Canis lupus familiaris: one gene and its partner. The protein of the gene in region 1 binds, or shares a complex with, the protein of each later gene. Links are inferred from orthologs where the notes say so. Each region holds a gene or a part of one and is shown in the gene's direction. Other genes may lie near its edges. The genes, in order: HERPUD1 and UBE2J1.

The links.
Region 2: HERPUD1 (region 1) and UBE2J1 share a complex: the UniProt entries of both Homo sapiens proteins name them as parts of the HRD1 complex. The link is inferred for Canis lupus familiaris from reciprocal best matches to the Homo sapiens genes HERPUD1 and UBE2J1.

What each region holds. Positions count from the first base shown.
Region 1 is NC_049223.1:58,668,708-58,673,104, reverse strand, and holds the start of HERPUD1 (homocysteine-responsive endoplasmic reticulum-resident ubiquitin-like domain member 1 protein), read left to right. Parts: upstream 1-1,306; 5' UTR 1,307-1,417; coding exon 1,418-1,570; intron 1,571-4,397. UniProt on the Homo sapiens protein: Component of the endoplasmic reticulum quality control (ERQC) system also called ER-associated degradation (ERAD) involved in ubiquitin-dependent degradation of misfolded endoplasmic reticulum proteins.
Region 2 is NC_049233.1:48,760,971-48,764,081, reverse strand, and holds part of UBE2J1 (ubiquitin-conjugating enzyme E2 J1), read left to right. Parts: intron 1-1,797; coding exon 1,798-2,076; 3' UTR 2,077-3,111. UniProt on the Homo sapiens protein: Catalyzes the covalent attachment of ubiquitin to other proteins. Functions in the selective degradation of misfolded membrane proteins from the endoplasmic reticulum (ERAD) and is essential for cells to recover from ER stress.

The sequences.
Region 1 (4,397 bases):
CTGAGTGAATGGAGTCTGCTTGAGAGTCTCTCTCCGCATCGCCCCCTGACCCCCCTTGTGCTCACACTCTCTCTTAAACAAACAAAAATAAATAAGTAAATAAATAATAAAGGGGGGGGGGTGTTGAGACGCAGAAACAGACCTGCATGGAGGGAAAATGATGCGGAAAAGCACGCACACAGGGAGAACGCACCCTGACGGCGCAGGCCGCGCTGGGACGCTGTAGCCCCACACCCAGAACTGCAGACATTGCCACAAACTACCAGAAGCAGGAAAACGCACTGAACAGATTCCCTCTCGCAGCCCTCCTCAGAAGGAGCAACCCCGGCCCAGCACCTCCATGTGTGGCTCCGGCCTCCTGGCCCAGGGCACAGCGCGTTCTGTCCCTCGGGCCTGCGGTCCGCGGCCTGCAGCCTCCGGCCCGACCAGGCCCCTCGCGTCAGCCGCCTGCCCTTGCCGCGCTCCCGGCACCCGCAGGGACAGACGTCCCAAGACGCCTGCATCGGGATGGGGCCCGCACCACGTCGGTGCTGTTTTTCAAGACCTTTCTTCCTACAGAGGCGAGGGCGGGAGGTTGGCCTACCTCAGCGGCACCGGCACCGGCACCTCCACCTCGTAGAACACGGAGAAGCCTCGCCTCGGGGGCTCCGCCGCAGTGGAAGGCCGCGCGGGCTGGCGCCGTAAAGGGGATGCGCGCGCCCGCGGGGGCCGCGGTCACGTCCAGGCCGCAGGGGGAGTCCAGCCTGCGTCCTCCCCTGCCGAGGCCCCGGGACTCGCACACGGGGCCCAGCCCGCCGTGCTCCGGGCGGAGGCCGCGGAAGGCGTGGGGAAGCCTCCGCCGTAGGGCAGGCCGCGGGGCCTGGCGTCCGGGCCGCCCGCACCGCCGGGAAGGGAAAGGGGCAGAGAGCCTCGGCACCCGGGGTCAGAAAGGGCGGGGAGAGCTGCTTTGTGAGGACACAATTTGCAGAAGCCTGCAAGCGGGGGGTCTGCCTGCCCGTGCCCCCACAGGCGCCTGGAGCAAGGCCGCACCCCGGTCCGTCCGGGCCTCAGCGCCCCGCCGGGGCTCAGCGCACCCAAACATGGCCGCCGAACCCGGGTTCCGGGGCCGCAGCCGGGACTCCGAGTGACGCAAGGGCGACGGGTTGCATCAGCCCCCGACCACGTGCTCGGCCCGCCCTTCCGCCCACGAACCGGGCGCCGATTGGGCCACGTTAGGGCCGTGACCCCCGCCCCAGCCAATGGGCGGCGGCCACAGAGTGTCCTCGCCGCAGAGCCCTAGCGCGAGGTGCCTATAAAAGGCGCCTGAGGCGGGGGCGCGCGCCCCAGAGACGCGAGCGGTCGTTGCGGAGGTTGTGGGCGGCCCCGACGCCGCCTGCCTGGCTTCTCGGAGCGCCGCCGAGCCCACAGCGCAGCCGACATGGAGGTCGAGCCCGAACCCGAGCCTGAGCCCGTCACGCTCCTGGTGAAGAGCCCCAACCAGCGCCACCGCGACCTGGAGCTGAGCGGCGACCGCAGCTGGAGCGTGGGCCGCCTCAAGGCCCACCTGAGCCGCGTCTACCCCGAGCGCCCGGTGAGAGGGGCCCCGACTCCCCTTGCCGGCGTCCCCCGGCGCGGCCGCCATCCCTGCGGCTCGCGCGTCGCCCCCAGCCCGACGGCCGGTCCCCCGCAGGTCGCCTCCCCGCGGGGGTCTCGCCCTGCCCCGCCGCCATCGCTCCGCCCTGCAGACGGGCTGCCTTCCCCGTCCCTCGTCCCGTGTCCCCCAGCCCCTACGGCCGTCGCCCTCCCGCCCCGCCTCCCAGACCACTGCCCCGTCCCCTGGGTCTGGCTTCCGGCCTTGGCCCCGCCGCCGAGCCCGCGGCTTGACCTTGGGTGAGTCCTCGCACCCTTCCAAACTCCGTTTCCCCGAAAGAGCAGGGCGACAGGCGTTGCGCACTGGGAACTGGATAGAAGCGGGGACGCAGGAATGCTGCGAAGGGGATCTTCCGAAGCAGCGTCTCGGTGCGGGGCAGGAGGGCGGGGGCCAGCGGGGCCAGCCCCGGCCCGTGGCTGGGGACACGGGGGAGCGCCCAAGGAGTGCGTGTGTCCTCGGGGCGCCGCAGCCGGCAGCGAGACGTGGCTCTTCCCCTCGCCCGCCGCCTTCCGCCGCGGCCCCTCCCTGCCCGGCGCGCCGGACTCCGCGGCCTGTGCCTGGTCCCGGGGAGGAGCCCCGCGCACTCTCTGCTTAGAGGGTTTAGAAGGAAGCAGGCAGGGTCTGGGCGTTAAGGCTTTGGCTCCTCAATTACAGACTTCCTCGCTTTGTTTTGGTTGACACATCTGTCAACATCCCCCTTAGCACCGCCCTCCCTTCCCTCCCCACCACGTGACGGAGGCTGCGAGCCGGACCTTCCTGTATTTACTTTGTACCCTGATATTATGTAAGTGTCAGCCGTGTGCTCCGCTGCCCACAAGTGCGATTCTGCCTTAAACAGGAGAAGGCATCTGGGCGACAAAGACTGAAATTGTTGCCTCTTACCTGAAAATTTGCAGCGTGTGGTAGCTGGGGGGGAGGGGGGAGAGGGGGGAGTTGTCAGGCTTTTTATCCCTTAATTGTTGAATATGGAATTGTAGAAGTGAGCTTTCCTTCCGAGTTATTCTTTGAATTTTGCTAGTTTACCTAAAAAGCTGTCATTCCTTCAGCATTCCCCTTGGGACTATTTGTAGTTTCACCACAACTGTTTCCAAGAAACTCGGTGGCCCAGGTGCTGTGAGAATAGCTGTTAGGTCCACAGATAGGTGTGGTCCCTAGTTGCATCATTTGGTAAAAGTGTTTTGGAGGAGAGCTTCCCTTAAGGGCTTCCTTGGGTGACAACCGTCACTCCTATTAAGTCTGAAGACCCAAAAATTGTAAATAAAAGACCTCTCAGGTGTGTAAATTTGTGCATAAAAATTATGACTGGAGGGGCACTCGTCATTTGGTTTCTTACTTTTATAATAGTTTAGCATATTTAATTTCTTTTTTCAAATCAGCCTTCTGATTTGATGGAACGTCAGGTCAGGCCTTTTATTTTTTTATTTTTTATTTATTTATTTTTTTTAATTTTTTCTTTATTTATGATGGTCACACACAGAGAGAGAGAGGCAGAGACACAGGCAGAGGGAGAAGCAGGCTCCATGCACTGGGAGCCCGATATGGGATTCGATCCCGGGTCTCCAGGATCGCGCCCTGGGCCAAAGGCAGGCGCCAAACCGCTGCGCCACCCAGGGATCCCAGGTCAGGCCTTTTAAAGGGAAAAACAGGCATCTGTGGTTTTCAAAACCTTTACTAGTGTGGAACTCTTTATGTAATGCAGGACCCCACCTCTAGCATTTAACAAGATTATGTGCATAGCATTACCTGTAAAGTCAATCAGAACAATGGTGAAAAATAGTATCCAATTTGGTTCTGTAGTTCAAGGTGCGTGGTGTAAAAAAAATCCTGATTTATGCAGATAAATAGATGCAATTATCGTTTTGATTGATTTAAACAGTTTGCTTTATAATCTCCAGCTACTTGGCAGGAGCAACTTTATTCCAGATTTTGCATAATTGTTCTGTCCTTGGGTTGGTGATCTCTATAGAGTACTGGCTTTGGTATGTATCATTTGAGGCCGTTATTTTTAAGTATGGTTTTTAAAGGAATTTAAAATCTAGTTGATTTTAAAAGTGAGATTTATATGAAAATGTGTAGAGTCCCTGTGGTTTTGAAATCACTGGAATGGAGATGACGGTTGGAATCCTGACTCTTCAGTGACGGGTGAACTTGGACAAGTCAGTTTCAGACTTTTCCTCCCTTCAATAGGGGTAGTAAGCCTCATAGAGTTCTCTGAAATACTACCTACGCACCATTTCCTCTATACTTGGATTTGTATGTTAGGAAAAGTCTCTTTGAGAGCTTAGTTTAGAATTGCTTTATGTTGGGGTCCTGGGTGGCTCAGTTGGTTAAGTGTCTGCTTTGGGCTGAGATCATGATTTCAGGGCCTTGGGATAGAGCTGCTCAGTGGGGAGTCTGCTTTTCCCCCTCCCCCTCCCCCTGCTTACATATATACACACACTGTCTCAAATAAATAGATAAAATCTTAAAATTAAAAAAAAAATTTCTCTTAGGACAATACTAGGTGATTTTGGTAAAGGCTGACCTTGGTTGGGAGTACTTTGAGTTTTCTCTGAGATCAAACCAGGTTTTGAAGTTAGTTGCTGTGGGATCCCCAAATACAATTTGTGTTTTTAGTGGCAGAAAGGAATTTCCTTGGGAGTTTAAAAGTCAAGTAGGTCATCATAGATTTTGTGGACTGGAGATAATTTGCCATCCTAAATTTATTTGCATGTTAAAGAGAAATTCAAAGTTCAGTACTTTCTATAGAGGAGTTTTGTATATGAAA
Region 2 (3,111 bases), on another chromosome or scaffold:
GTGAGGAGCCTGCTTTTCCCTCTGCCTATGTCTCTGCCTCTCTCTCTGTGTCTTTCATGAATAAATAAATCTTTAAAACAAAACAAATAATCTTATAAGTACAGAATTGGATATTATCCAATTGTACAGATGAAAGAGCTGAGTCTTAGGCTGAATAATTTGCCCAGGATCCTGCATCCCCGAAGTGCTAGAGCCTGCCTGGTAATTAATGAATGATAAGGCTGCTTGTTTTAGTCATTGTATTCTCTCAAACTAATGGAAAAAAATAACATGTATAAAATAAAATCTTTAAGCTGAATCAATCTCTTGTGCTAGTTCCTGGATTGATAGCACCTTTGTGTTTTTTACTTTCCTTAAGAACCTTCCCTGTAAGCCTTGAGCACTTTTACTGCATTAGACACTTTTAGCTTCTTGGCTGAGAAATCAGAAGAATGGGAGATTTCAAATGGAATGTTGCTGTATCAGCCACTATAACTCAGCTCAACCCAATGAGTGCTTATTAAGATAATATGATGCCTGCGACAGTGTAAGACCTCGTAGTTCCTTTTCTGTCTCTGTGTTATGGGTCACTACATTCGAGTGCTTCCAAAAGACAATTTTAAGAAACTCAGATTATTCACACCTTGTAATGTTGAAATGAATGTCAGATTTAAAATGTACTTTCTTCTGTAGGTAACTTAGATCAGCAGTTTCTTCCCTAATGTTTATAGCTGTTGCCAGAACAAAGCTCATCCTCTTATGCTTTTTAAAAAGTACATTATTGATTTTTTTCTTCTATTTGAAATCTTCTCTAATGGAAAGTTTTAAAAATATTTTTTATTTACTCAGTTTTTAAAGTTATCCTGAAAAAGACATGCATTCTTATTTTTTATTTGAAAGGCTATTGGTACTAATATAACCAATATAAAGTTTTCAATAAAAGAATTAAAGGCCACTGGGTTATTAGAGGTAGAGTTAAGGTATCTATATAAATAAAATGGAATTTATATTTTGTAGAGCTTTCTTATCTATATACCATATTTAAGATTTTTGAATCACTTCGTATCACACTGTAATTATGCTAGGCCCAGTAGTCATTGAAAGGACAGAAAACAATTGATATCTTGTGCTTTGTAGGGCCCGCTACTGTGCCAAAGTATGCTTTATATGCATAAGGTAACATAATTCAAATACACAGTAAAGAATTATTCTAGACTTGTGCTCAATTCACTTTGCAGGAGTTATGAGAAAAGACAAACTTGGCTTGAAAACATCTGATTTTTATAACAGTACTGCTGTGAAGAAAGTATGGTTTGAAATTATTCCCTATGCTGTATGATTGTTGGTGGAAGCATGTGGATGTAGTCAGATAACATTGGAAGAGACCTGGTTCATGAAAGGCAAGCTGTTGAGAGTTAAAACTTTTTGCCATTTAGTCTGGCAAATTTTCAAGCCGAAAAGAAATCAGATTGCTTCCCTTCTTAGCTCTCCTGTAAGAAAGTAAGATGCCCAGATGCTTAACATATATTGCTGGAGTTGTAGCTACAGGAGGGTAGAAAGCCATCTGTAGAGCACATGGCCAACCTCTGTTCTCATCCTATTTGTTGCTGATAAAGTCCTCCTCTACCTGATGAGTATTCAGAATAAATTGTGTTGTTGGCTTGTTCAGGAGGGTAATTAGTTTCAGCCTTCAGATCATTCTTGGTTGTTTTGCCCATAGTCATATTTTAGTGCTCTGAGGTTTTGTGTATTCTTGTAACTTCCATATATACAAGTTTTCTTTGCCAATTTCAAACAAGATTTCCTAAAATTTCCTAGTATGGAGCCCAGAACCCCCCAGCAGCATCCCTTCAACGACCTGCTCAGCCTGTAGTTAAGAATACCTCCATGAGCCCTCGACAACGCCGAGCCCAGCAGCAGAGTCAAAGAAGGTCGTCTACTTCCCCAGATGTGATCCAGGGCCAGCAGCCAAGAGACAACCACACTGATCATGGAGGATCTGCTGTTCTGATTGTCATCTTGACTTTGGCATTGGCAGCTCTTATATTCCGACGAATATATCTGGCCAATGAGTACATATTTGACTTTGAGTTATAATATTGTTTTGTGTCTTAAGAGCTGTGACTCAGCTGCTTCATTAAACATTCTGCATTGGGTATAATCTAAGAATTGTTTACAAAAATATTATTTTGTATTTACCCTTCATTCCTTTTTTGATCCTTATAAATTCAGTATCAATATAGCTAGACTTTCAGACTGTGTCTGCTTAGTTTAAGGGACTAGAAAGTCAAAGTCCCTTGTCTCACCATATGACCTGCTTTACAGAGAAATAACTTATTGTTTCTCATGCCTCAACTTCTTTTTATGTAAATTTGTGATACTTTTCTGTATAACCCTTTGAAAATTTTGAATTAAAGAAGGTGTTTTAAGTTCCAGTGAGTATTACTAGTTACTCAATATCATTTATTGAGTACTCTGTTTCTACTTATGTAGAATGATCTAGGGATAAGAATTGAAAAGGGAAAGTAGAGCTCTTCAAATAGCTTGCTGAGAATGTCATTCATAGGAGATAGACTGGGATGCCCATTCTGTGACTTTGTGTCCTAAATGTTGTTCAGTGAAAGTAATTATTTCAGTCAGACATTTATGAGGAGAGATTACATCTTTGTTACTGGATGTTACTTGGAGGGAATAATGCTTTGTAACCACTTTGATATGCTGTTATCCCCTTCTCTCCCAAATGCACACAAGATTCAAAAACAAAGGAAACAGTCCTCCATAGAGCTTTTTTTAAGGAAAGAAGGGTCCAAGCCAGGAAATCACTTGATTTTCTTCCAGAAGTCAAACGGAAGGATCTTCAGATTTTAATGTTTGCTCTGCTTTGAATTGTATATCTTTTGAAGGTATTATATGCCTAGCTTTGTAATCACTATAAATTTAATTATTCTAGGAATAATGCATAATGTTGAAATATTTCATGTACCATTTTAATAGAAAAGCTCAGGGCCCAAGTAACAGTGATAGAAATTAGAAAAACCTTTACTTAGAATTGTCCACCTAATCAAAGCCCAAGAAATAATTTTCAGTGCAAAATCAATATATATAATGTAGTGCGAACTAGCTCCACGGATT